Lonchura striata: one gene and its partners. The protein of the gene in region 3 interacts with the protein of the main gene of each other region in a biochemical or structural test. Links are inferred from orthologs where the notes say so. Each region holds a gene or a part of one and is shown on either strand. Other genes may lie near its edges.

Region 1 (9,832 bases), on a different chromosome or scaffold from region 3:
GTCTAAAGCTGGGCAAGACCAGCATTAACATAATTTTTAAATGAACTGAAATCTCTCAAACAAATGCTGCTAATAATGTGAATAATTTAATAACTGGGATCATCCTGAAACTGGTATCATTACACTGTCAAACAACACAGAGAAACCAAGGAACTGAGAATGACAGGATGTCACCTCCACTGTTCCATGTGTCTACAGTCACCTCAGCATCACCTGTCCCCAGTTCCTCTGCTCTCCCCTTTCCTTTAAAAGTTCACTGACATGTAAATCAATCTGATTTATATAGAAAATCTATGTACAGCTCTCCACAACAACAACCTTTTTCATAACGTTCAAACCATCTTCCTCCTGTGCCTCTCCAAGGAAATTAGCTGCTTTCCAATCTATGGCAACCATAAATTATGCTAAGCAGGTCCCCAAAGCAGATTTCTTTCCTTTTTATACCTCCTGAGACATGACTCTGTGCTTCTCCTGAAGAACATCAGCCAGTTCCTGCAGCCGTCCATTCTCCTGTGACAGGTAGGTATTCAGCTCCACTACTGCTTCTTCCATCAGTGAAATATCTGAAAGGTGCAGAAAGAAAAGGAAATTAATGGAAATTAATCAACACTGATTTTAATTCATGAACAGCAAAGAGAGAAATAAGAAAACAGAAAAAGGAGTCTGGGTCTAACTTCAGTTTACCTCTCCCACAGGTGTTTCCTGAGGGCCTGATCTCCATCCAGAGAGCTTTGACCTGCACTCCATAACAAAAGGCTCTGCAGTTTAACAGTGCTGCCCACTTCTGACCTGGGGGCCATTCCCTCTCACCAGAGATCACTTCAGCTGTGTCTGTGCCAGCAACCCAGAGCATGCCCTTGGAACCCAGGGACACCCCAATGCTGCCCAAATTCACGCGTAAACCTGCTGCAACAGATGGCCCAGGGTGACACACCAGGCCAACACACCACGACACCATGTGACAACCACAGCACCAGGGTCACAGGTGAAACTAAAGCACCTGAGGATAGGCTCACATGGCACCAGTGTCAAAGCTACTACAGTTCAGGACTGCCAGCCAAGGACAGCAACACTTCCCTACACCAATGCCAGACTCGGTCAGAGCACACAGAAGGCACATCAAGCATGAGTTGGCTTTCATTCATAAGAATGAAAATCTAACCTTAAGCGAATGATGTTTTTTCAACAGTCATCCATCTGAGTCTAAAGTGAATCTGCTACATTAATTTTTAGAAGATGGTCATTTGGCTTTTTCTGCACATATCTGCTACGTTCAAAACTGACAGCGACACTAAGCAGCTTGTTATTCCTACACCTTCTACTAAACTGCAAAGAAGGAGTCCACCATCAGTTTGCAGTGCTGATTTCACTTCTTTACTTGTAAGCATGAAGCATTTTATGTGGAAGCTGAGAAGGTTTAACTGCTCTCTGACTTCTCAGGCACATGAACACAGTACTGGCAGAAACAAGCTGCCCAATACTCTGGGCAGAACCCTCATCATTCAAATACAGAGGTAGCTACAATGCACTTCTGGCACATGATCCTTCAGAAGAGGTTATGATAACAAGAGTTTGGAAAGCCAAACAAATTCATTTTGGAAAATACAAGCATGTGAGAAGGACTAGACCTTAATGTTAAATGCATGATCAGGTCTAAGGTGGGGGCAGACAAGCATTCTTGAATACCTGCCACCTTGATCATACCTCCACTATTCAGTTTGTGAGACAGCACGTCCACCTTCTCCTGCAGCTTGTCATACATTGTCACAATCTGGGCAACAGCACGGCGGGAGGACTCCACACGCTCCTGCAGCTGAGATTCTATCTCCTCACTGGTACTGCTGGCTAGAGTGGCCAGGAAAGAGAATGCCGGCTCCAATCCTTCCCCTGGGAACATAAAGAGGTGAGAAAAAGTGTGTTCTAGAAGGTAGCCTATCACTGCTCTTTACAATCACAAAAAGACTGTCAGCTGTGGCCCTGATTTTTTAATATTTACTAAAGCCTTCTGAGTTTACATTCTTGTAGCAAACTTTCTCACACACTTTCTGTAAATAACGTAATATTTTTGCATTCCTTCATAGAGGCAGAGAAATTTGATAGATTGGTAGCTTGTCCAGTGTTGTTGGAGAAGTGCCATTTTCACCCTCCAATCCACTGTCACCTTTGGAAAACTATAAATGCTGGAGTCAGAAAATAAACTTCCTTTTTTTTACCTTTATAATAGCAGCAGTACGCGTCTTGCTTTCTCGTGGCCTATAGTGACAGACAGCCTTTAGAAATGGGCATCAGCATTGTCCATAGCTGAAATCCCACTGTCCCCAGACAGTTGCCTCACCTCGTTCCCTCTCATCTTTGCGCTCCTGATTACTGTCAGAGTCTGGTTCAGGTTCTGGCACCACCAGTGCTTTTCTTTCAGACAAGAGGTCTCCAAGACCTTGGTCCAGGTCAAAGCGTTTCAGGATGATGCGGATATTTTCATCAAACTGAATGATGGGATAGGCAAGGCAAGGCAAGATAAAGAATGGATGTGAACAAAAGGACTGCAGTGATACAAGGGAGACAAGAAAACTGTATATGAAGTAACAAAAGCTGTTACCAACCTGATTCCAGTACCGGTTTATGATCAGCAGAGAGGCATCGTCGGTGGCCTGCCGACGCTCCAGCTTCTCAATGTGCTCCCGCAGCTCATCTTCGATGGCCTGGCGCTGGTCGAGCATCTCTGCAAGCTTCCGGTTCTTGGTCTGCAGGGTCCGGATGTCCAGCTCCTCCTGGGCACAGGCATATGGCATACAGGCCAGGTCACAGACAGGCTCAACCTGACCCCAGAGACATTTCTGCCTCCAGATGAAAAAAAACCAAAAGGTGGAGAGGGGATATGCAAGAAAGACATACCGTTGAAGAAACACCACCGAGTTTGATGGTCTCCACAGTGGTGCCTGAATCTTCAACCCCTGCCTTCTTCTCTGGAGGTGCAGAAGGGCCAGGCTCTCCTGCTGTCCGTTTATTGCCGATTCCAGACATGGTGGCTGAAGTGTAAAGATTCCCACCTTCTCCAAGTTCTCCCTGAACATTAAAGAGCGCTATTTAAAAAACACCAAATACACATCCATGCGGTCAATTTTATTTGTGGTTTTTAACATGCTGACCCATTATGGTAATAAAATGCCCAAAACAGAGAAGATCACGGAACCAGAAAGATTTTGAAAAATATTTGTTGGAAGAAATGGATTAAATGTGGAAGACTGGTAAGGAGGACTGTAAATCATTCAAGTGACCTTGCAGCTGGGAATAACCCTTGACAAGTCCATGATCCTCAGGCACAGGCTGAGTTTAAGGGTGCCCATATCTCTAATACTGCACCTCCGCCCAGGTGTTGCTTTAGAGATCCCACAAGTAGCAAGGTAATGGAAATAAATCTATTCCGTGTGTTTTAACTGGGAGTTTGTGCCAGCCTGTGCTGACTCACACATTCTGGTCCAACACTAGCAGTAAAAGACACCAGCAGGATCTGCACTGCAAGCAGAAAGTTCATGGGGAAAATATCCACAGCACTGTAACATTAAAATAAAAGCACTGTACCTTATCACCCTCTTTGCAAAAAAATCTTCATCCAGGTTCACTCTCTGCTTTTCTGCATTAACAAAAATGAGTCAGGTTAGACTTGGGAAAAAACTGAGACAGTGTGGATGTGGCACCAGTTCACTGCACAACAACCAAACTGCTCCTATTGAATCTACACACAAAGCCAGTCAAAGCTGAGAGTAGCAACACCCTGGAAATAAATGACCTCTGTACTTAGAGAGCTTACAAAACCTACAGAACTGAAAAGCAACCTGGAGCCAAGGCTTGCAAAGACCCATTCCAAGAGTTTTGCTGTGTACCAGGAGAGATGTGAACATTTTTCAAGAGAACCTACTCCTAAGTCAATCCAGTCTGAAAAGCTCTGGACTACTAGAGAATCACGGAACAGCTGGGATTGCAAGGGAAGACAGGAGGCCACCTGCCCTGTGCCCTGCATGAAGCAGGCTCAGCCAAAGCATGTCCAGTGCAGGGCCTGCTGAGGGTCCTGTCCAGGCAACCTGAGCATCTCCAGCTACAGAAACTCAGCCATGACTCTGGGCAGCCTCTCTAGTGCTTGATCATCCTTAACATTAAAAAAGGCTTTTCTCATGTCTGAACAGTAATTCCTGTAGTTCCCTATAATATTATTGAGCAAAATTACAAGTGTATCCTCAAAAGGTTTACAATACAAATGGAAGTGACTGGAGATGAAACATGGAACCAACCAATCTTCACTAGACATGAGCTGCAGTCTTCTCCCACAGCCACTGGTGCTGTGGCAGCCTCTAGACTGAATGAAACCAGAAGTGAATGAAGTGCAGACTGTACCAGTAAATCCTGACTTGTTCCATTTAAGCCTATAATGGCATTTACAGTCAAACTAGGGGTTATGAACTGAACCTCCCAGTTCCTACCTGCTTTAATTGAGCAGTTCGACTGAAAGCCACAAGGCCATTGTGTTTTGAAGATGAAGATCGTACACTGCTTTGCCAAATCTCAGCAATTCACAAGCATCTCAGCTTGGCAGTGCCCTTCATCATATGCAAAATAGTATAAAAATTATTTCTGAGTTACTGAAACAGCACAGATCCTGTGAGGTATCTTTTAACAGAAACATTAAACTACATCTCAAATTTACAAAGAAAGACAACTGCCACTGAACCATTTTCCTTCTCTTAGCAGCAGCTCTGACTTTAGGTGGAATTCCAAGAGAATTGGAAGGGAACAGCTATCACTAAAAACATCTCATCTGTCCCCTGTCAGTCCAGCAAGCCAGCACTGCTCACTGCCTTTCACACTTTTTGTCCAGGGACAAAATACCCCTTCCACTGCCTCCTGGCATCACCCCTCTCAGCTCCAGCTCCCCTCTCACAACCTCCTCATACACTGTACACAAGACCCCAACCCACTAATTTTTTATGGCCACAGACCCAGTCTTTCACAGAATCATTTAGAATGGGAAAACCTCTGAGACCGAGTACAACCTATGAACCAACACCACCCTGTCAGTCACACCATGGCACTGGGTGCCACATCCAACCAGAGACAGGGAACCCACCAGCTCCCTGGACAAGGCCCTTCCAGTGCCTGACAATCCTTTCTGCTGCTCACACACAGAAGAGGTAAAGAACTCTAATCATGAATGTACATTTCTTTGAATGTCATATTTATTTCCTTCTTGACACAGAACTGCTGATCTGCTCTGCTAACTAACAGAGTAAGTTGTACTCAGTCATTCTGTATTTACTTAAAAAAAACCAGGTGGATTTCTGATTACAAGCCCTATCAATTGAAACTCAAATTACATTTTCTTTTCTTACTTACTATCATTTTACAACTAAATCAAAAACCTTTACTACACCTGCCACCACCTGATGTTCCTGCTACAGTACAGGAACTATACTACAGACACTACACACATATAAACCGGGATTTATGTACAGACACAGAACAACAGAAATAAAAGCACTGGGCAGATTTTAAAACTATTATTTGAGTTTATACTCCCCAGCAGGAACTCCAGTCAAACAATGTTCCATCCACAAGCCTAACAGGATTTTTCCATGGCTTCAGATCAGACTCAGCAGGAATATTTTAAGCATTGGAGGAGAAAGGGGAAAACTTCCAACCCTCTGCTCTGCTTGGCACTAGCATGGCATGGATGGGGTGCTGTGTCCAGGACTGGACTCCTCAGTACAAAGACAAGGAGCTGCTGGAGAGGGTCCAGTGGCAGCCACAAAGATGATGACGCCTCTGGAGCATCTGTCTTATAAAAAGAGATTGTGATATCTGGACCTGGTTAGTCTGGAGAATACTGTGAGGGGATCTCATTAATGCACACAATTATTTCCAAGGTGAGTACTAAGAGGGTGTTTCAGACTCTTCAGTGCTACCCAGCAACAGGATGAGGAGCAGTGGCCATAAACTAAAACCCAAAAAATTCCACATGGGGAAAAACACTGAGGGTGGCAGAGCACTGGAGCAGCTTCCCCAAACATCGAGGACTCTCCCCTTCGGAAACATCCCAAGCCCATGTGGATGTGTTCCTCTGCCACCTGCTCCAGGTGACTCTGCCTTGGCAGGGGGTTGCACAGGGTGATCTCAACCCTGCGATTCTGCGATTCAGCTTCCCCACACACCAGCCGCTCCCAGAGCTCCTCCGCTCTCCCGCATCCCGCGGGGGTCCTGCCCCTGACCCGGCACCTCCCCACAGCGCCAGCCGGACACGCCGCGGGCCCGTCCCTCCCTCCGCGGGTGTGCGCTGCCTGCAGCCCCCAGCGCCCCCTCCGTCCTCCGCACGGCACCTCCCGGCTCTCTGCGGCCCCGGCCGTCCCCACAGAGCCGCCGCGGCCGCCTCGTCGCTGCCGTAACCGCCGCCTCCTCCTCCGCCGCCGCCGCACCCCGTCCCGTCAGCAATGGCCGCCCCCCGCCGCCCCTTCCGGCCGCCATTTCGCCCTCACCCGTCATGGAGGCGCCACTTTGCCCTCGCCCGACATGGCGGGACCGCAGCGGCACCAGACGCCGGCGCCCTCACCCGCACCAAAGATGGCGGCGCGGGCGGAGCCTCCCCCGCCCACACGCGGCCCCGGCGGAGCGGCCGCCTCCCTGCCCGACCCGGGATGGAGCCGTGTCCCGGCCGGACCGGGGGGCAAGGGCGTCACAGATGCTGAATGTGGGCAAAACATCAATGGTCTGTCCTGGCCATGGTGTGGCAGGAGGGCCAGGACAGTGATCGTCCCCCTGCATTCGGCACTGGAGAGGCCACACCCTTGCTCCCTTCCAATAGCGAGAATGTTCTGCTTTCCTCAGTATTGTTTAAAGATTAACTGCGTGAATTATGCAGAGACAGAACAGCAGATGAGGGAAAAAAATACAAGAAAAAATCTGAGTGGTGAGGAGAGAAAGAGAGGGATTCATAATATTTGTATTAATAACTGAGATTCTTTTTTGAAGAAAGTGGGAGAGCCAAGCAATCCAATGCTAGTGCAGAGGAACTGCAGAGAGTCTTCCAGCAATTTGCAATTACTTAGTCTACCAGGAATATGGCAAATACGGTTGCTTTTTCCTGAACCTTGTAGTCTTTCACTTGCCATTACTACAAGGAAGAGTTGAACACTTTACAAAATTACAGTTGGTAAGAAGTGAAGTGACTGAAGCTGGGTGTTTCTTGGAAAGAATGTGCACATGTTCTTAGCATAAGCAGAGGGGAGCCTGGTATGAAGAAAACCACCGGAGACCTGGACATGAACTGAATAAAAAAGTTGTGTAAGAAAGCCTAGAAAAGAGACAATTTGGAGCTTGCAGTGTTGGTATGCTCAGACTGTGGCCACTAAAGGGGACCTGGCTGGACTGAAACTCCTATAACCAAGAAGTGCACAGCCTTGTGACCAGGCTGAGCATCACCCATTACCTGTTCCAAAACCCTATTCCAAATTAAAAAGACCCACAAAACCTCAAACACTGTCTTTCCCTCAAGTTGTAGGAGTAGTAGTAGCCACCAAATTTGCTATGAAAGCCCAACACATGGGTGTGAAATGCATCCTCTTTGGTAAGGTGGGAGGTGGAGACACAGCATTGTGAACTATTCATGTATTACCCAGATGTGTTTGCAAATATACAGGTAAATATGGAGCTTTAGCATACCCAGGACAGTACCTAAAATTATCTTTGATCCAGCAGAACTGTGCTGCTTCCAAGAGGAAAGGCTCTATGGGAGATGGTCTGGGAGCCCTCTCACCTGGAGGGCAGAGGGAAATCCTCTCTTTTGGGAGAAGATTTGTGTGCCTGGAGTCTCCTGAAGAAATAGCAGAGCACAGATTCATCCCAAAGATGGGAACAGAAGAGCTTTGGCCAGTCAACACAGGTGCTGTCAATGGCAGATGAAGAAAGGGATTGCAGGTTGCACACTCAAGGAAAGCACACTTAAAAGCTGAGCTTTGAAGCACAAAAAAAAAAAAAAAAATGGGCTCAAGAACATAAGAAGCAGCCAGTCTAAGATTATAAAGTGGAAAAGTGACATCTACAGGCAACGAGTAACTGGGCAAAGTAAAACAGTACCCAAAACGCTCACAGCAGACTAACTACCCTAGAGGAGATAACTGGATTCCAAATTCAGTGGAGAAAAGCCATGTGCATCAATATTTCTGTGGTAAAGATGTATTTTTGTGTCAGCACACAAATGAGCCTTTTCATTAACTGGGTTGTTAACTGGAGCCATAGCAGTTACTTTGTGATAATGCAGTGCCAGGCACCCAGAAGAGCAGGTATGAAACACAGCCCTCAGTCCTGTGTCAGCTGGCACATCTATTCCGTGCCTTCTAGATCAGATCATAGAGGTGAAGTAAAGGAAGGAAAAGTCAGAGAAAGAAAAAAAAAAAAAATTTAAAATGCGTATTAGTGGAACATACTTCGAAATAAAAGTACCAGACCTGCCATATGTGTGTACAGGTCTTTGACTTCACAGCAAATGTAGCTTTTTTCTTAAAAACAATTACAATAGATAAATAAATAGGATGAAGGGCTTGTACTGAGCTTCCTAACCCCCCTTAATTTCCTCATACACTGGCTACAGGCAGAGTGATTCTATCTTGTCCTGCTATTTTGATCATTGGTGCTTTGAAGCAAAGATAGAAACACCAGTGTCTTAAAAGACATCCCTGTCTTAATGGCTTATTTGTGGAAGAGGCACTTTCATGTTACCAAAGTGTGATAAGCAGCAACAAGATTAATTTTAAAAGCTAAGCTTTGAAGAACAAAGCTTCAGTCCTTGCTCAAAATTTTGTCCTTGAGGATTGTTCTGGTGTCCTCTCCTCTAGACATGACTTTATCCTTACTTCATTGTAAGGTAAGGATAAAACATACCATTGTAGCTAAGGTTGTGCTCTGAAAATAGGATAATTTTTGGTTTTCTTCTCAGGTATTGTGAAGTAGTCTACGTTGTTGCTGTGGGCATGAACTGGAATGAAGGGTGGTGCTGCAGGGTGCTGTGCAAGGTTCACATCAATTAGGGCCAACAGTGGAACTGCATTTGATAAGATCAGGTACTTTACCTAATGATATCCACTCAGTGGATCAGATCACACAGAAACGTATCACTCCACAGCATCCTTGATCCAGCCAACAATTGCTGTTTATGTTATTTGGGATGTCTTTCTCTTGACAGACAAGCTGACTAAAGAAAATGAACACACATAGAGCTGTAGCCAATGCAGTGAGTTCTTGCTTTTCCATTGAAAGAAGTTGCATTACTTTTTTTTTTTTTTTCTGTTATTGTTATTGTTATTGTTATTAGAATTGGATAGTTCTTCTTTCCTAAGTAGCATAATAGGATACTTATGACTCACATCTGGGGAGAGAGACACTGATCCTATTTTGCCCAAGTGTAGTAAAGAAATTCCATTGTCACCTGACCAGAAGGAACTTGAATAGAAATGTTTCAGTTGCTTATATATGCTGCACAAAAATTCTCACTTACTTTTGTTTTGTCATGTTCCTACCCTAGTTGTCTTCCTCTTGTAGTGAAACACTTAATGCTAAATGGAGAATATGTGTATGAATTGAAGAAGCTCTCTCACTCCACTGACACCCAGATCATCCTGGCAGGCAATCTGAAAAAGACAGAATGAAAGATTTCAGTCAGTGAGAAACCCAGGCTGGAAAGTCTCAGCAGGGATTATTAGTGATTGTCTTGCTGCCTCACTGCCCAGCTGCCATAGTGATAAGGAGAAATGAAAAGCCCAGGAAACAGAGCACAGGCTTTACTGTCTCTTTC
Region 2 (9,832 bases), on a different chromosome or scaffold from region 3:
AGCCATAATGGCAGTCACACTCACACCACCTGGGACCGAGGCCCCTTCACAGCTACATCCCCACACTCACAGTCAGGCCAGGTTTCCTTACCAGCTCAGCTCCAGGTTTCCCATAGCTCAGACTTCGAGATCATTAAAATAATTTAATCTTGGTGCAGTAATTATCAAAATAACAGTTCGACTTGGGTACCTCTGAGGAGGTGCCCCAAAGAAAGGAATCCCCGGGCTTTTATACCCTCAGAGTCTGAGAGCAAGCAAGTCTGGGGGTGATGGGCTCCTGCCGTCTCTGAGTGCCCGGTCCCCAGGCCGGGACACAGGTCCCGTGCCCCGTGCTCTTCGCTGTGCAAAGGATTTCGCAGGTCCCGGCCTTTCGCCCCCAGAGCTCAGGCTGCAGCTGCACACCGAGCTGCCGGCACTCAACATACTCCTCAACGCGACCTTTCGGGCAGCCTGGCCGAACACCTGTAACTGGGCTTGACCGCGCGCCGCCGCCGTGCCCGCCGCTCGGCCGCCCCTCGCCCGCCCGGCCCCGCTCACCTGCACGACCCAGAGCAGGCTGGCGGCGGCCGCCCCGGGCGCGGGCTGCGGGGCCCAGCGGCGGCGCGGCCCCGGGGCCGGCGGCGCCGCCGGCGGCCCGTACCAGTCCAGCAGCAGCGCCACGGCGGCCGCCGCCAGCAGCCCCGCCGCCAGCCCCAGCATCCTGCGCCGCGCCGCCACCGCGCCCGCCCCGGGCGAGCCCTGCGCCGCCGAACCCGGCACTTCCGCGTCCACCTCCTCCGCTGCCGCGCCGCCCCGCGCCCGGCCGCGCTTGGCTCGGGGGAGCGATGCCGCCGCTCCCCTTGTGCTGGAGCTTCTATCCGGCGAGGCTGGGGGATCCCGGCTCTGCCCCCGCTCCCTGTGCCCTGAGCGTTCCTGCTTTCCCCTCCAGCCGCAGGGCTGCCTGGAAATGCCTGGGTTAAAGCAGAAGGAAACCCAGGCGTACGAAGAGATCCGTATCTCAGCCTGCTTCCCTACAAATACAGCATGTGAACTTTGGCTTTTTCTCGTTACGGTATTATAATTCTACCTGCTCGGAAATCTAGGCAGTTGACCTATTTTGATCCTGACAGAAGTATTTTTATGGTATTTTGAACATTTTAATATATATATATGTACACACACCATTTAAAACCTTGATATAGTAACCGAACAGTTTCATAATTGCTAAGTTATTCTTTGCTATCAACTCAGTTTACTAACTGCTGCCCATTTACTGTTGAGATTTTTTTCTTCCCATCTTAAGTATGAGTTCAGGTGAAAAAGCTCCTGTCACTTCACATCACTCTTTGTTATTTATCATAATATTCTCAAACAACTTCAGGTATTAGAAGTTTCTAATTCAGTATTATTTAATTGTAATTATATTTTCTCATGTAATTTCTCATAGGACAAAGATTTAAATTTTAGCATTGATAATAAATAGCATTGATTGATCGGGAAAAAAACATTTTTCAGCTCAGTTAGACTGCATTAATATGACACGTCTTTTTAGATGTTCTTCATAATTTAGTTACTCTTTTGCAGGACTTCATGTATGTTTGCTTTGTTTTTTTTTCAGCTGCCTTTCATCTTGTTTGTCTACTCTTTCCCCCCAACAAAACACCCTGAAGAAATGTTTCTAAATAAACATCAATCAGCAATCCTGTCAATCTTCAGAAGTAATCTGGAGAACTAGGGCTTTCTCACTTTCTTCCTGAAGCTCTACCATTTTATTTTAGCTCTAGCAAGGCTGTCAATTATTTTGTCTGTATTAAAATTGATCTGAATTCCTGTTTTGTTCTTCTTCTTTCCTCTATTACTGTAGTATCCATGGAGATCTTGTTTGGTGCCATTTCTGCCTGGGCAATGGTGCCAACTTGTTTTTTTAAGAGGTTTACTGACACTTTATTTGCTGTCTTTTAGTGCATGTGGGTTCCATTTTTTTAATAATAATTTTTTAAAGTAAGTCTAACAGTAAATCCTGTTCAATTAAAACAGTGATTTACATTAGCATACCTTTTGAAGTCACACAGGAAAGCAAACCCCCACTGACAGCTAAAAGAGATAGCCAGGCAAACTGCTTGCCTTGCAGCACAGGGGGCTGCAGGCAGCCCTCCTGCTGCTTGACTGGGTTTGTTGCTGGAATTCTGCCTTGCTTCTCTTGCTCGACTACATTGGAAGCTGGATTATATAATTGCTAGTGTTGATGCCAAAACAGGTGAAGGACTCCAGTAATCACAGTCCAAACTTAGTTGTTGTGCAAACAACACTTCTGGTTAGCGGGCAGCTGTGCTATTGGAAAGGATTGGGCACCAATTAGCAATATGGACAGACAGAACGAGATGAGATTGTTGTCTCATGGCAAAATTCAATTTTTATTTTTTACACCTCATACCTAAACCTGTCTCAGTGATGGTGATTTTAACTGACAGATTTCAGTAATTAAAGAAGTCTGCAGGACTTCTTAATATGAAGATGACTGGTAGCTGTGGCAGAGGAACTACATTCAGATTTCTGAAGATATAAGAGAAGAACTTTGAGAGTACTTGTGGCTGGGTACAGCACAAAAAAATCATTGGATATACCTGAAAAGATCACCTGTAAGCTTTATCCCATCCATACTTGTCACTGTCGAGGCAGGATGGGAATGAATAGACTTGACTCAGAAGGCTGTGAAAGTAAGACTCCCCTTTATTCAAAATACACTGCTCTTTTATACAAAGCTTCATGAGGACCAAATCCATTGGTTCTGAAATGAAAACAACCCACCACCATTGGTGCAAAGTGCTTGACGCACAGTGATAGAACTTAACTATAAACAATGTGAAAAACAAGAGAGATAAATAATTATTTACATTCTTTTCCAGCTCTTTCCCAGGCTTTTTGCCTGGCTAGAAACTCTCAGTTTCTTTCTTTAACTGAATCTGAGACCCACACATACTGATAACTGAAGAAAGTGAAAAAGCTGTTTGGAGGCTTGAAACAGGAAGACTACAGTGGAAGAAGGCAGTCTTCCCAATATCCAAGATATCAGGCATTCAAAATGGACCCCAAGATCCAATGCTATGGCTATTTGCCTATTTCCTCAGCCTTACGAAGGTGGAAACACACGGAATTGTACAACTGGACTGCAACAATCTGGAAAACTTCCAGCAATGCATAGGCCATGTTTGTCACACTTCAATCAAGATCCTAAATGCCCTAATCTGCCAAATCTGCTAAGCACCCAGAACAGTTTTGATACGCTGTTGGAAGGAGGTGTGGAGGAAAAATTTTGATCTTGGAGATCCTTTGGTCTTTAGGCATTTGCCTAAAGCTACTGTTGCTTCCTACACCAAGTTAATAAAATTTTCCCTTTGCTTAGCCCATGTGGGAACCACATGGAAGTGACTTTGCACCGTGTAGATGAAATTACTTGCGCTATTATCTTGCTAGCAATGAGGGGACATAGTCCCCTGCACCACTGGAGGTTTAGGTTAGATATTAGGAGGAATTTCTTCACCGAAAGGGTGATTAAACATTGGAATGGGCTGCCGAAGGAGGTGGAGGCAGCGACCCTGGAGATGGTATAAGGAAAGACAGGACATGACACCCAGTGCCACGGGCTGGATGATAAGGTGGTGTTCCGTGGTAGCTTGGAGTCGATGATTTCAGGTCTTTTCCAGCCTAATGGATTCCGTGGCTCGGCGATGCAGGGCGCGAAGCGGGCACGGTTTAAGTGCCTGCGGGGACCCGGCCAGCAGGAGCTCCGCGCGCCGGCCCGGCCCGCGCCGGGCTTCGCGCGGCCTCCCGCAGGGGGCGCTGCCGGGGCCCCGCGCGGGGCGGCTGCGCGCGGGGCGGGCCCTGGGCCGCGGGCGCGGCGCCCGGTGACGGCGGCGGCCCCTTCCGGCCGTCACGGCGCCGCCGGCCGCGTCCCTCGCTCTCAAAATGGCGGACGGAGCCGACAGAGGTCCCGCGGCGGGCGGCCGGGCCCCCGCGCAGGCCCCGGAGCGAACTATGGTGAGGCTGCGGACCGGCGCCGCGCCGCGCTTCCCTCTGCCCGCCCTCGGGGGCAGCCCGTGCCCTGCCCGCGCTGCCGCTCGGCCGAGCAGGGCAGGCTCTCCGCGGCTGCCGAGCGGCGCCGTGGAGGGCCGGGACGCGCCGCTCTGCACCTGCCGTAGCCGGCGGGAGGCTGCGGCACCACCCGGGGCGCGGCCTGGGCGCCGGGGCCGGAGCGGGCGGCCCGGTGCCCCCGCACGGCGGCGGGCGCGGCTGCGCACCGCTCCCGGCGGCTGCGCTGGCTGCGGCTCCGGGCTCCCGCCTGTGCCCCGGGAGCGGAGAGCCAGCCGTGCCCCGGGAGCGGAGAGCCAGCCCTGCCCCGGGAGCGGAGAGCCAGCCCTGCCCCGGGAGCGGAGAGCCAGCCGTGCCCCGGGAGCGGAGAGCCAGCCGTGCCCCGGGAGCGGAGAGCCAGCCGTGCCCCGGGAGCGGAGAGCCAGCCGTGCCCCGGGAGCGGAGAGCCAGCCCTGCCCCGGGCCCGTGACCCGGGCCCGGCCAGCCGCTGTCACGGGCCCGCGGGGGAGCGGTTTGGCTCGGTTCCCCGCAGCATCTCTCAGCCCCTGTCCTGGATCTTCTGTTGGCACCTAATGACGGAATTGATTGAGATCAAACTTTGGAAAGCTTCAGAGCCGTCCTTTAAACGTTGTACTGTAAATGTGCATTTTAACCATAGTCCTTTACCTTTCTTAATTAAAGGTGACTCTACTGTGGAACAGAAAAGGCAGAGTAACAAATTACTGTTCTATATAGTGTGTGGAGCAGCAAATAGTAGCATTTAGAAAGAACATAGTATAATTTAGAGGGAAACAGTTGTTTGTTGAACAGGAGTATTGTTTCTTTTTTCGTTCTGCAAAATAATTGTCTATGGACTTAATATTTTGTTATTGAACACAATTTGTTGTTGACCCTATCTAGTGGTAGCACGTAAGTGCCTTCTGTGGTTTCCTTCACAAACTTGTATAGTGCATTACTATGTTTGAAACACTTTATCTAGAGCAGCTTAAAACCCAAAAGCTGACAAGTTAAGAAAGGAAGGCAGATGGATGTGTATGAGGCACTTTACATTTTATGTTCTATTTCCTGTAACAGTCTGCACACATAGTATAGTTTTGATACTGTTGACTGCCTGTGTTTAAAAGTTGGGTGCTGGCAAGCCTGTAGAATAGCTGCTGTTTACATGATGCTGCACACCACTAATAAAAATAGAAAGATGTTTACTCATGGAGCTTGTCTTGCATGTGGCAGCAGTAAGCCAACAAAGATTATTCCTTGTACCCTTCTCAGAATTGCAAATCATTAGCAATGGCCCTTTAGTCATGGACTTTATTCTTAAGTGCTGTATATTTCTGTAACTGAAACAGGCCTATGCGTGGAATTTTTTTTAATCAGGAACAGCCTGATTTTACAATAGGAAAAATGTGACTTGATTGCATAGTGTCAAAAATTGCGTCCCAAGACAGGCGATTTCTTAAGCTTGTGAGCTGTGCATAAAGCCAGTGGTGCTGAGGGTAATAGTGGCAATCAGCAGCAAAGCAATGCGATCAGCCTTTCATTAACTGGGGACTTCAGAGGCTGAGTTAGCCCAAGCAATCCATGAAACTAAGAATTGCTGAAGGGATCCTCAGCTGCTCAAAGGTGATGCTGGTCCACTAAGTTGTCTTAATTTTTGTGTGATTTCAGACAGTTGAAAGTGTCTGGACCAGAATTATCATTATTCCGAGGAAGGTAGTTGGCCATCCAGACCATGTTGCTTGCCATACATCCAAGCAAAATGCAGGGATTTTGACAGCGAGTAGTGGCTGAGGATGTGATATAAAAAGGGAGAAGCAGAGCTTGGGATACGTACTTAGGTTGTGTCTGACAGCATTTGTGATGTTAGACAGCAAACCTGGCTATAGTGATGGTAGAGACAGTTGTAATCTGGAAGCAGTACACCCAATTTATTGCTGTCTTGAAGATGGTACTAAGTAGGTAGAACTAATATATGAACTAATATATCTTGCCTGACTTGTGCTTTCACTGTGCAGAGCTATTCTGAAAGTTACTGTGGTGCTAAAATTGGAGTTGTGTGGAGTGGAAAGAACTGGTTAAATAGGGTGAGCTTTGGCCTCACTGAACTCGTCAAAGCTGTCTCAGTGTCTGAGCAGTCAGACAGACTCTTGCTCCTCTGTTGGTCTCTGGCTTTGGGTGCCATTGGCTGCAGTGCAGCACCACATCTGCTGCAAACCTTCCCAGAGTGCTGGGTTCATGGTGCAGGTCACCTGAATGATTCTGCAGGAGCCAGCCTGATTCTGGAGTGGATGGTGGTGACTCAGGTAATAAACTCTTCTGCGCCCAGCCCAAGTCAGTGGTGTCTTCCCTGCATTTATCTGCAGCGCTTCAGGTTGGATGACTGTGGTTGAAAGTACTTAACTTGATGTTTCGCTGCATTAGTTGGAAGTCAGGTCCTGTCTGTTCTTCTGCTTCTTCATAGTGGCTGTATTGCTTCCTGAGCTGCCCTGGAAGAGAGTGGGTTGAATTTAATGCTGATTAAGTAGCAAACCTTGTCTACTAAACTCGAGTTTACTTTCTTTCCTTTCCTAACAGCATCCACAGTTTACTTGGCTGGCTGATGGGCTGGACTTGGCTTGTCCAGTAGTTGGCTAGCAGGCATTACTGGTGGCCTGACAAAAACCAGCTTTGCAGGCTGGATCCAGCCCTTGGTTGGCTGTCCATTTGTATTCTAAACAAATTCCGGTTTGACGCCTGCCTGCTTTTGCATCTGCTACCTGGAGCAGGGCTTTGATATTAAGCTGTTGCAAGGATTTAAAATTTACACTGAATCTTCAAATTGTCACATATATGTACCTTCTCTGTAATATTTGTGAAGAAAAGGGATTTTTTTAAAGGTTCGTTCTTTTACCATTAGTCAGAACCTAACAAAATTTGAGATATAAGTGGTGTGCAGGAAGAGAAAAGCTTGTATTATTAGGATATTACCTTTTAAGATAGGAAATTTCCAAATTTCAGTTTCATAATGTGAAGTAGGATGCAGGCACTTGTGCATTTTAGGATATTTCAGATCTTTTGTGTCATTCAGTGCTGTAACATAGTTGAGAAAATGTATATGAGGAGACCTGCTACTGGAGGGGATATTCATATTCATATGCAGGTTATTTCTTGAAATTAGTGAAATCTGAGTCAGGTCTCTTATTTGGAATTGCAGTGTCTTCTAAACTGAATTGACCTGCTTAGACCAGATGACATGTTCATATAATTTTACTTTGTTAAGCTAAATCTGTTTAAACTTTCAATTTAGGTAAGTCATCATATCCTTTATTGTAACTGTTCCCTGAAATGCAGATGGTCAAATTGCTGTATTTAGAACAGTGCAGCATATTGGTAGAACAGTATTTACTGTACACTTGTGTCAGTGTCCAAGAAATGGTGTGTTGTTATCTACCAAATGCAGGTTTCACCAAAAAATTTGGAACATGAAAAGGTGATTAGATTGCATGCCTCAAAGACTTGAAAATTAGTTGCAGAATTCCTGACCATTTTGCCTGTTGAACCTACTTAGTAGTAGTATCCTGCTAATTTTGCAGCATATTTAGGCTGGAGTGTCCACTTGGTAGGGAGGTACAATAGAGGTACCTCCTGCATGGTGGAGAGAGCCACAGGCCATGTTTGACTCCAGTTGTCCCTTGGGCTGCAGATTGCTTTCAGGTGCCTACTCCCATGAGCTGCAGCTGGGCTCTTGTAGTTTTGGAGGTGCCTGTGGTTTAAAAGTCACCTGCGGTTTCCAAAAGGTTGAGCAGCTTGGGTTGGTGCGTTGCTTATCCTGAAGAAGACAGTAGTTTTAGCTGTCCAGCAACTGAAACAGTAACAGGTGGTGCTGGTGGTTATTTATCTTTCTCTGGTGGTCACCAATTTGCTCTGGGTCAGCTCAGGTGGTAGGCATTGGTGACTGCTGGAATCAAGGCATGTTGTACTCTAGACAACTTCAGTAGTCTGTGCTGGTTTTGAGTCTCATTCCAAGTGGGCAAACACCTGCATCATTAAAGCAGCTTTTGACATGAATTGGCACCCTGCTTTGGCTCAGGGGCCAAAGTTAAATGACTAAAGAGATCAAAAAGTTATTTTATGTCTTCAGGTCAAAGTTGATATTTTGTTAGGACAATGTTAGACAGTCTTGAACGTTATCCATGTTGTGCCAAGGGAAAAAAACTTCTGAAACTTAACTTCCTTCTTTTAGTGTAATCACTGATATCTAGAGCTGACTGGATACTAAAGTTTGGTAGTATGGTTTGGTTTTTTTAGCCATGTTATATAAAGGAGCTGACAGATGGATCAGAAAACAGATATTTTGCATTTGAGTTCTAAACAGTAATTTTTGCAGCTTAGATTCTCTACTAAAGCATTAGTTGTGCTTTGTTGGAAAATGTGAAACAACAATTCCTGTTATGAATGTGACAAAACAAATAAAATAAGTTTCTGTTTTAACTCCCTGAACTGTGCCCTTCCAGAGATAGGATTTATACTCCTAAAAACAAAGTTTGATTTAAGGCAGGGAAGAAGAATTATGTTAATTTCTAGTGTTTACTTTTGAAGCCTCTTCTTTGTGGAGTATGTTTGAGGCTGAAATAGATTGCCTTATCTTCCTGTTGTTTTTACTAAAAGTAATGCCTAGACGTTCTGTACCCTAGTTGGATCTTATTCTCAGTGCATTAGAAAACTGGTCATTTTAAACCAAGATAATAAGAAGGAAAAATGGAGCCAGAACTTTGAAAGCAGAACCCATATATGAAAATTAATCCTTTGAACTTTCCTTTTCAAAGTAATTTTAAGTATTCTGCCAACTTATCAAAGAACTTGTGCATATTTATAATTTTAGAATGTTAGATGTTTCCTCAATTAGTTAGACAATATCAAAATAAAGTTTTCTGGGATACTGTCCTGCTAATCTCTGTTTAATTTGTACAGGTGTTCTTTGCCTTAAAGCTGCCTTTTGCATTTGGTATTTATGTTGAATGGCACCTGCTTGAAATCAGTATGCCCCCAGCATTTTAAATATTTACTTTTAAAAGCCTGGTTTTTCTAGTTGCTTTGACAGACAGCTGGTATTGTCATCTCGTGCCTGACAGATTTTTGCTATGCATAACAAAGTATTTTACTATTCCTTTTAACTGTAGTGCTGGACCAAGTACAGGATTTAGTTCATGCTACTGGTAGTTTCTGTTCCTTCATATTTTGTTTTTTAATGTTAATAAATATTTATATTCCTTTTCACTGATTAGATTAATGTACAAATCTAAAAATAGCCTTGAAATTTAGGCAATCACTTCTGCACTAAAAGATCAGCTTGTTAATCAGTGTAGTTAAAGTATAGCTGTTTTTTATAATATTGCCTCATGCAAGCTGTTAGTTTGCAAAGACTTCAGTGTTCCAAGAGAGCTGTGCTTAGTAAGTAGATGAAAAATTGTCATGGAAGCAACAGCTACTGAATTAGTGCGCATAATAAACCTCTGCAATGATAAGAAAAATATTCTTCTTGTTTCTCTTATGAGTATAATGAGTATTTCCTGGGTAACATACAGGCTGAGCATATATTTTTGTGTTCTTACCAGAAGGCAGACAGCCTGCCTGAGAAAGTTCTTTTGCTTTCCTTGTTCCTTCTTCTTTCCTACTTCCTGTCCTCTTTTCTTGGAACAACATTCAAATAGAATTAAAAGCTTTGCACAAGAATGCTTGAAATGCTTGTGAGTTTGACTGTGTGAGAACCCATTTTACACTTCTGGCA
Region 3 (9,832 bases):
GGTCAAAGTTACCTTAGAAATTGTTTTGGTTTGTGAAATGCTGCACAAGGATCTAGTACTTACTCAAGATTAATATAAATTGTGCTGTAAAAAATTAAATTATTAAAATTATGTTGATATTTAAAATCATAAAACTATAAACCAAAATGTATTAAAATATTAATATTTTTAAAATTATAAAAATGCCCTATCAAATGGCATTAAAAAAAATAGAAATAAAAATTGAACTTGAAACAGCTTTCTGATCAGGAAGTTGTTATAGCCATCCCAGTATTATTTAGGAATGAACACATTACTTTCTGTTCTAGACCACAGATTGTGAAAGGATTTTTTCCAAGTGTTTGAAGCACTGTTACAGTGGATAACTTTAATGGTTGCACAGGAAAAAAAAACCTCTCCAGGAACCAAATGACAAAGTTAGTATTGCAATTGTTCTTTCCACTCATCAATGGAAGTCAGTGTGTTACAAGTACATGATAAATTGAAAACATTCGAACTAAAATGCCCATAGTGACATTATAATGGCAGTGATGCATTTAAGTTCATTAGGCAAGGAAGTACTAGAAATAATTATCACCAGATACAAATCTAAAGTGGATATTTAGTGCAGATTTCATTTTGAGACATATTAAACCACCTTTGCAAGGCCAGAACCTATATTTTATGGTTAGTTGGGACTGATTGCTACACATGTTACTGCCAGGTAGGATTAAAATATTCTATTAGATAACATCAATACACTGTTCCTCAGTGGTGTCAGAGGAGAATAAATATTGTCCCTGATGAGACATTGCTGAAAAAGTTCCCAAGCCATGTGGAAACAACAAGGGATTTCAGATTCAATCCAGCTTGGTGCTGCTGTTCAGTTTTTTGTTTATTTCCCTGCACAGGCTGAGTGTGACTTGGGCTTCAAAGGCAAAGAGCTGCCCTGGGCACAGGGGATGCCCTGTCTGGGCTTTGAAGCAGTGCCTGCTAATACTGAATTAATCAATGTTGTTGTGACCTTCATTTTGTGTACAGGTCCAAGCTTGCATTGGTTGTCACAGATTGCTTTCTCCCTCCCAAGTTAACAGGAGTGAAATAAAAGCTGGATAAAGGTAAAGGAGCAGCAGTGGAATGAAAACTGGAACGTGTGTGGTGGGAGGATGAGGAGGAGGAGGAGAGTCCAGAGGAGGGGATTGCTTGCCAGGAACCATTCCTCACTAGTGTGGGGAATAATGTTTTAGTGGCTGGGGTATTATAGTTTCTTATTACCAAATCTTTTGGAAAAGCTTGCTCCCCTGCAGTACCAGGCTTTGTGTGAATTCCTCACTTTTGCCATCTGACTGTTTTCACTAAGGTGGGACATTGGATTAAAGTGGTCTGAATAAATCTTTGCAGAGTTAAATCCCACCCCATGTGAAATGTGAATTCAACTTATAAATAACCCAGTCAGTGGTGCTGCTGCAGCAGGGCTGGCATTAACTTGGTGAAAAGGCAGTACTGAGCTTTGTGCTGTTAAACCCTGGGCTGATGCTGTTCCACCACCTGGATGGCTGCAGGCAAAGGGAATGGACAGGCAGTGTTTATTTCTGTCATTTCATTATACGTCCCATGATGGTTTGACCTCCTTAAAATCATCTGGAAAAAAAAAAAGCAGGGAGGCACATGTAACCACACAAATCCAAGTTCAGGGATAACTTCCAAGACTGCTTGTAAGAACTGGGTCACGACTTCAAAGAGACCTGCTCTGTCTGTTGGAGTAATGGGATTTTTAAAAAGGGCTGAGAGCCAGGACATCAGCCTGTATTTAGAGGGAACTTCGAGAGATGCTGAGAGGCCCATATGGCAAAATGGACCATTATCCCTAATTAAAATTTGATAAGAACTAAATTTTTAAAACCTCCAGTTACTGCAAATAGTGGGAGTGGGCTGAATACACAGCATAGAAGCAAGACTCGAAATGTACAACCTTGCAATCTGACCACGACTAATAGTTTCTGTACTTTGCAGACGTTCAGCTGATCACAGTGAGCTGGTGTGTCTGGCAAGGAGAAAACCCCACCGGCCCCACGCGTGGGCTGAAACGCCCGGGCAGCGCCGGGCTGGGCACTCCCGGCTCCTCCCGGACCCTGTCCCGGCACTCCTGGGGTGCCGCAGTCCCGGCTCTCTCCCGAGCCCTGTCCCAGCCCTTATCCCGGCAGTCCCGGCTCTCTCCCGGACTCTTTCCCGGTCCCAGTCCCGGCTCTCTCCCGGACCCTTTCCTGGCTCTCTCCCGGTCCCTTTCCCGGTCCCAGTCCCGGCTCTCTCCCAGACCCTTTCCCGGCTCCCTCCCGGACCCTTTCCCGGTCCCAGTCCCGGCTCGCTCCCGAACCCTGTCCCGGTCCCTGTCCCAGCAGTCCCGGCTCTCTCCCGGTCCCTTTCCCAGCTCTCGCCCGGTCCCTTTCCCGGCTCTCTCCCAGACCCTTTCCCGGCTCCCTCCCGGGCCCTTTCCCGGTCCAGTCCCGGCTCTCTCCCGGACCCTTTCCCAGCTCTCGCCCGGTCCCTTTCCCGGCTCTCTCCCAGACCCTTTCCCGGCTCCCTCCCGGACCCTTTCCCGGTCCAGTCCCGGCTCTCTCCCGGACCCTTTCCCGGCTCTCTCCCAGACCCTTTCCCGGCTCTCTCCCAGACCCTTTCCCGGCTCCCTCCCGGTCCCTTTCCCGGCTCTCTCCCGGACCCTTTCCCGGTCCAGTCCCGGCTCTCTCCCGGTCCCAGTCCCGGCTCTCTCCCGGACCCTTTCCCGGCTCTGTCCCGGACCCTTTCCCGGCTCTCTCCCGGACCCTTTCCCGGCTCTCTCCCGGACCCTTTCCCGGTCCAGTCCCGGCTCTCTCCCGGACCCTTTCCCGGCTCTCTCCCGGTCCCTTTCCCGGCTCTCTCCCGGTCCCTTTCCCGGCTCTCTCCCGGACCCTTTCCCGGCTCTCTCCCGGACCCTTTCCCGGCTCTCTCCCGGTCCCTTTCCCAGTCCCTTTTCCCGCTGCCTCTCCCCAAACTCCGCCGAGCGCGGAGCCGCGCGCACCCGCCTCCCCGCGCACCCCCCGCGCGGCGCGATGGTGCGGTCCCGCCCCCCCCGGTGCCGCAGTGGTGCGGCCGGCGCGGCCCCGCCCCGCGCGCGCCGCCGCCATTGCGGGTTGTTTGTGCGGGCGCAGCGGGCGCGGGCGGGAGGCGGCGCCGCGGCTCCGCCATGTCCACCCCGGCGCGCCGCCGCCTCATGCGCGACTTCAAGAGGTGAGCGGGGCCCGCACACGCCGCTGCCCGCGCCTTCCTGCCGGGCCCGGGGCTGGCCCCGAGCCGCCCGGGCAGGGGAGCGGAGTGCCGGGGGGAGCGGGGGCAGCGCCGGCTTTGTTCGAGCCGGCTCGGCCGGCGCCGACGGCTGGGGGCGTCTGAGGATAGAAGTTGGAGCTGCGAGCGGGGCGGGCCGGCAGCGCCCGCGGGGCCGGGGGCGCCGGGCTGGCGGGGGGACGCGGGCTCGGCCCGGCTCGGCCCGGCTCGGCCCGGCTCGGCTGGCACGGCCGTGCCCGTCCGCCCGGCCCGCCACCCGCGGGCTCCGGCTGTGGAATGGCTCGGCCGGAATTCAGAAGCGTTCCAGGCTTGCTGGGTCGCAGGGTCTCTCTGGAAAGAAGTTCGTAGCGATAGGCACCTGGAAACGAAGCGCAGAGAATTGGCGAACGCTTCGTTTGTATGTAGTAAGAGCCAAAATGACCTTTTGTGTTTTTATGCACAATCATGTGATACTGTGTTTAAAGTTTGCAATCATGAGGAGTCTTGTGTAATATATGCGAACTGCTAAAGGAGCGCTTATTAGTTGCACTCTTTTAAATGTTAATGACTGAACCACTGACTCTGGAATACATTATTTCCAGTCTGACACGTAAACATACTTAGAGTGTGGAAAGGGGTGGGAGGTTTCCTTGTAAGATGTACAGTAAGAGTTCTCCAGGCTGGGTCACTCAGCAGTAGTTGGAGGTGAGTCAGCTTTGATAGTGTCTCTTTTTTTAGCATGGCTATGTTATACCAGGCCCTGCGGACACATCAGTTAACACTTGACGTGTATTGTAGTTGCTTTACGTGGCTGCACAACAGCAACAGCGACAAAAATCTGATTCGTGAATCCAGAAGCAGTAGGAGGTTTTTGGGAAGTGGAGCCCTCCCCTGCTGTTTGTGCGAGTGTTGGTGTTTGTTAAGTGGGTGTTGCTTGATTCCTGTTCAAATCAAAACAGGATATTCAGACTTTTTATTGTATTTGGTTACACAGATGAATCAGTGATTTTTTTTTTCAGGCTGACTACCTCAATTTTTCAAGATTGCAATCAGATGTGGGTTTTATGCTTTTGTATTCCTACAGGGACTGGTTTAATAATTTTGGAATTAAGGCTCGAGAGAAGACTCTAAAGCTGTGGAAAAATATAACCAAGTAGACAATGTAAATCAAATCCATCAGTCATATATTTAGCGGCTTTTATATTCCAAAACTTATGTAACTTTTTCATATTAGTTTTTGTTTTACTCTGCTCTTCTGTGCTGCAAGTTGTGTATTTGTTTATGTTATTATACTTCATACTGAAAGAACAGACGGTGTGCTGTGAACTCTGATTCACTTCAATAAATACAAACTGCTTTTGCATACTGTGATTGTCAGGAGCAGTCAAGAGAGAAGAGTTCAGCAGATTTCTTACCTCCTCTAATTTGTTTGAATAAACCAAAAGAAATAAAAGGTTATTTATTTACTTTGCTGATAAAAAGGGCGTACTAAAACCACATTTTCCCTACTGTTTAGGACTTTCAGGATTAGTCCTATTTGCAGTCCTTGCCAGATCCGTTCTGTAGTTAGACCCTGTGACAAGTAGGGTGCACACATGCTTTGAAGTTGATCTAAAAACCAAAGTCATCTCCCAGATGCACTTGGCAGGCTAACACTCAGGCATTGCTGCTGGCCTGCAGCCTGGCTGTCACGTAGGAAGAAGTCCTGTTCCTGCTTTCCCTGACCAAAATAGTAGGTGGTTTATGCTGCTGATATTCAGCGGTCTGGACTGTGTGTGCTCAAAGAGCAGAGATGTAAACACAGAGTTTAAAGGGGCTCTGAGCAGCTTCAGGGCCCTCAGCATCTTTGGACAACACACGGTGTTACCCCAGGCTGAGGCAGGGCAAGTGCAGGGAGGGTTGCCTGGCTGTGCTGCTGACAGCTCTCAATAAATCTGCATATGGCATTTAGTGAGAATTTGTCCCTTGGTCTGCAGAGCTTTTTGTAGTGACTTGTTTATAAGTGTGCTGTGATATTATCGAGCCACATGGTAACACTCAAGAGTTGTTTGTGACACAAGGGCAGTCACTGCATTTTCCTTATTGGATAACTCCGGAGGCAAAACAGGTGAGGGGAGTAGGAGCTGTCACTGAGGGGGTTTGAGCAGGTGGATTGATTGGGGCCTGCTGGTGTACATTCATCAGGGTCTTGTGATCCTTAATATGGAGCAGTGATGGGCAGGGGGGGCATTTGGATCCTGCCCTCTGGCTGCAGTACATATTTCTGTTAGTGAAGCTTTCAGTAGGTAACATGCTTTTCCCTAGTCCGAGGATTAAGGAACTAAAAATAATTTCACATGTTCCCGTAATTGCTTTAGAGATAAACACGTTTGTGGGACTGGTAAGAGGGGGTAGCAGCACACAGGTTTCCCCTTTGCTCCCTTTTGAAGCAATCAGCTTGTCAGTTGAAATAGGCTTATACCAAATTTAGCCACTTGTCATGCATGGGTCTGGGTATGCAGGAAAAGCTCCGCTGACGGTCCTTTGCCTTGAGTCCCAGCAAGAGTGCTCTGTGTGTGTGTGTCACTGCCTGGATTTCAGCTCCTGGTTGTGGCTGCAGCTTGTTCTCCAATTCACTGTGGCAGCCAGCAGCAGTTGCTCTCTCATAGTTCACAGTGTAGCACCATAAATCCCAGCTGTCCGGGTGCTATAAGTTATTCTTACAGCTAATCCTTTGCTCCCTGAACACCTAATCAGACCTCTTGTGCCCTTGTGTCTCCATGTAAAACACGAGAAAATCTTGATGTGTGTTGCCTTGTAGATCTGTCTTTCAGAGTGTTGATAATCTGCATGTAATGCTTTGTGTATATTCTAATCTAGAATGAGAAAATATGTATAAAATGTGGATATTACTGGTAAATTATATCTGCAGGTGGAAGTATTTCATATATATGACTTGTGATTCTATGTAATTCTTAGATTGCAAGAAGACCCTCCTGTGGGTGTCAGTGGTGCACCATCTGAGAATAACATAATGCAATGGAATGCAGTTATATTTGGGTAAGTTTTTATCATTATGAAATTCGGTATTAGAGGGCTAAATATGATAACCTGATATTTGTTTTTAGTTATTCTCTTGTTTCATGTGTGTAAAGTCAGTAAACTTAAAAATGTCCAAAACGGGGAATGGTTAGGAAGGAAAAAAAACCTAAATTTTTAATTTGTTTAGCTTTGTTGTTGAATAAAGCTTGCATGTGGCTTAATAAGTAAGTTATACTGTGTTATGAAAAAGCAGAATTCCTCTTTAAAGTACATAAGTGCCACATGTTCTCAGCCATTAAATCCAGATGTATTAGTGATTGAAATGAATCCTAGTAGGACAAGGTGCAGGATCTGTCTGGGAAGTTACATTATGTATCCTGTGCAAGAAGAAGTGACAGTATCCTTTCCTAAAACTGAAGTATGCTTGCTAATAATCTGCTCATTTGTTCCAATCTAGTCACCTAAAGGCATGTATATTGTTTGGGATGATGATAAAGTAGATATCCCAAATAGCAGGTGTCTAGATACAGCAAAGCTCTCAGAGGTTACCTATGGATGCTTCTCTAATAATTTAAATTATTGCTTCTGCCTGTATCTTGGAGAGGATGAGAAAGAAGATACACATCTATTGTGCCTGTGTGGAAGTAGGTAATGATCACTTTTAACTAGAGTTTCTTTTTAAAACCTTTCAGGCCAGAAGGGACACCTTTTGAAGATGGTAAGTTGCTAACTTTTGTATCCTTTGTCATTCTAATAAATGTTGCCGGTATGAACATCGTTCTGCTTTTGAAAAATAATAGATGTTATCTGTGTATAATTTGAAACAAACCAAGTAAGTGAACCCATGAGGCTTGTTGGCTATAAAAATGTGTCTTGAGCTAAGCAGTGTCTCATTACACTGGCTCATGGTTGGTTAGAAAGCTACGAAGCAATGCTTCTATCAAGGCTTTTTCATTCATGCCCACAAGAGCTTTTAGCAGGGTTTATTGGACTTACACTGCCAGGTGTGTTTGCACATCTCTTTAGCTGAGCTCAACAAGAGCTTTTCTCATTTCATCTGTGGCATATTTGATTCATCACTGTTCTCCTAATGAAGAACAGGTGAGAAACCTTTAGGTGTTCTCAATATAGAACTCAGTGAGGTTGAGGGAATCCCAAATTTGTACATAAACATGAAAGCTAGTGTGTAATGACCCTCCCTTAGGCATATGAGGAATAATGAGTTTAATAATTATAGTATTATTACAGTAATTGGCAGCAGATGGGTTTTTCTCTGTGTTGGGTTGGAGGAATTACAGTAAATTATTCACTGATCCATAACAAAGGTTTTCAGTGAATAAGTTTTGAGCTCCAAAGACTGAGATTGCTGATTATGAAATTCCAGTGTTTCTTTGATGGCACCACAATGCCTTCTTAATGAAACGCCTTAAAGTCACCCAAGTCCATGGACCCAGCATACCTGGGTCGTGGAAAAGTGGGATAATGTTGGATAAGGCTGCCTTTGCCATGTATGCAGTGAGTCTCCAAGCTCCTACCCAACCACTACTGCAGGGTTTATTACTATAACCAGTAGTTCCATAGTTGCATTATCCCTTGAAATATATGAAAAGCAATCAGATTCACTGTTGCTTTTTTATATAATGGTGAGGAGAAATGCTGGTCATGGAGCACATAAATTAATTTCTTGTCTCTGTTCCTGGATATAGTCTTTTGTTGTTAGTTATCTGATTGTATTTATCTTTGTTTGGACAGGTACTTTTAAACTAGTAATAGAATTTTCCGAAGAATATCCAAATAAGCCTCCAACTGTTAGGTTTTTATCAAAAATGTTCCATCCAAATGGTGAGTAAACCATCTTTATTTAGCTGTAATACTCAATAAATATTACAGTGTGGTCATGCATTCTCTGAAGCTCCAGAATGCTTAATCTCTCTTCACTGCCATCTCCTAAGTATATATCTAGGACAGCAACTGCTTGATGAAAAATTGAGAGTTATGATGCTATTAAGAAGCAGCTATCTGCCTCTTAGTAATCAATATGTAGCCTCAGTAGCAAAGCCTGTGAGTATTTTCAGCAGCAGCTGCACTTAGGTTGGTTCAAAGAGGCAGTTCTGGCTGCAGATTCCTGCCCCTTTCCATTTAACAGCAGCCGTGTCTGTGCAGCCACAGCATGAGCTGCAGGGAGCTGCTGGGGCCAAGTGTTAATTATTCCCTGCCAGGTGAGGTTTCACCCAAGTCCCTGCTTTCATCTGGTGCTCTGTGCCTACCAGGACTAGCACAGGGAAGAAAATGAGGATGCTCAGTTGTAGAGGAGGTGTCTGACCCCATCTCATAGATGAAAGCAGCGATGAAAGTGCACTGTGCTGCCTCCCCCAGCACTGATAGGTTTTACTGAGTGCAGAAAAAGCCTGCCTGCTGCTCCTCTGTAGAAATTATGCCTCACATACTGTGCAGGCCAGTTTGTCTCTGCCCCAAGGTCTGTAATTTGTTAGGAACAAGCTGGAAGACAAGGGTGTAGAAGTTTGAGCAGTAAGTCTCAGGTTCATGTGAACTCCATAAGACTGAGAGATATCCGGACAGAAGTAGGATTTCAGGCACTTTTCCGTATTTTCTACTGTCTGCCTTGGTGCCTCTCATAGTGAGTGTGGAGTGTGTGGAAATGGGGTAGGAGCTGTCCCTGCTTGTGGAGTGAGAGTGGGAGTGGTGCCACTCCTGCAGTGAAGGCCTTGCTGCTCTCTGGGAGGCCTCTCTGCTGTGACAGTGTGGGTCAGTCACACTGGAGGAGCAGGACACCAAGTCTGCCCGTTCCTGTGCTAATGCCATAATCTTCAGACCTTCCTTCTTTCCCTCTTAGGTGTTCTGTTAATTTCAGTAATAAATCTGAATTCAAAGTATGTGTCAAGCCACAGAAGATGGTAAGACAAACTGCTGTCCTCTTTCCTAAAGCATTAATCTAAGCACAGACTGAATTGGAACAATAACTGCCCTGAACAGTGCCATAAATCTGACAGTTTCTAAGTGATACCTGTGTTGTATTTACAGTGTATGCAGATGGCAGCATATGTTTAGATATTCTTCAGAATCGCTGGAGTCCAACATATGATGTTTCATCTATTTTAACTTCAATTCAGGTAACTTTGCATCTGTTGTACCAAATAATTATGTTATTGTTGGTCTCTATTCCAGAATTCACAGCTCAGTGATGGGATAGCCATGTATCTGTATCAAGGGGAGCTGCAAATCCTTGTGAGCTAAGCAGTATTTTTATATCAAATAAAACCAAAATGCTACATAATCGCTAATTCTAAGATACAAAACTACCATTGTATATTTTTGCACAGGAAAGTGGTTACTGGTTTGTGTTAATTTTTAGCTGTTTTTACTCAAGATAGGATATCAGATGCAGAAATTTGCCTTGTGTTTGAAACATTTAACTTTATTGTGAAGCCCTCAAAGGGACAATATTACTGAAACACACTACATATAAGAAAAAATGGCCTAGCACAGTGGAAATGCACAATTCCTTTGCTTCTGT

The links.
Region 1: the proteins of UBE2B (region 3) and RNF20 form a complex in vitro, tested with the Homo sapiens proteins (4 studies listed by BioGRID, with this or other methods). The link is inferred for Lonchura striata from reciprocal best matches to the Homo sapiens genes UBE2B and RNF20.
Region 2: the proteins of UBE2B (region 3) and UBR1 form a complex in vitro, tested with the Homo sapiens proteins (2 studies listed by BioGRID and IntAct, with this or other methods). The link is inferred for Lonchura striata from reciprocal best matches to the Homo sapiens genes UBE2B and UBR1.

The regions. Positions count from the first base shown.
Region 1 is NC_134642.1:59,172,894-59,182,725, forward strand, and holds the start of RNF20 (E3 ubiquitin-protein ligase BRE1A), read right to left. Parts: upstream 6,627-9,832; 5' UTR 6,522-6,626; intron 6,493-6,521; exon of another isoform or gene 6,366-6,492; intron 3,632-6,365; 5' UTR 3,580-3,631; intron 3,064-3,579; 5' UTR 3,022-3,063; coding exon 2,893-3,021; intron 2,769-2,892; coding exon 2,601-2,768; intron 2,484-2,600; coding exon 2,336-2,483; intron 1,888-2,335; coding exon 1,705-1,887; intron 564-1,704; coding exon 445-563; intron 1-444. UniProt on the Homo sapiens protein: Component of the RNF20/40 E3 ubiquitin-protein ligase complex that mediates monoubiquitination of 'Lys-120' of histone H2B (H2BK120ub1).
Region 2 is NC_134608.1:35,938,798-35,948,629, forward strand, and holds the start of UBR1 (E3 ubiquitin-protein ligase UBR1), read left to right. Parts: upstream 1-3,881; 5' UTR 3,882-3,945; coding exon 3,946-4,017; intron 4,018-9,832. UniProt on the Homo sapiens protein: E3 ubiquitin-protein ligase which is a component of the N-end rule pathway. Recognizes and binds proteins bearing specific N-terminal residues that are destabilizing according to the N-end rule, leading to their ubiquitination and subsequent degradation.
Region 3 is NC_134617.1:9,519,376-9,529,207, reverse strand, and holds the start of UBE2B (ubiquitin-conjugating enzyme E2 B), read left to right. Parts: upstream 1-3,132; 5' UTR 3,133-3,199; coding exon 3,200-3,243; intron 3,244-6,234; coding exon 6,235-6,315; intron 6,316-6,989; coding exon 6,990-7,015; intron 7,016-8,049; coding exon 8,050-8,139; intron 8,140-9,339; coding exon 9,340-9,428; intron 9,429-9,832. UniProt on the Homo sapiens protein: E2 ubiquitin-conjugating enzyme that accepts ubiquitin from the ubiquitin-activating enzyme E1 and transfers it to a E3 ubiquitin-protein ligase. In vitro catalyzes 'Lys-11'-, as well as 'Lys-48'- and 'Lys-63'-linked polyubiquitination.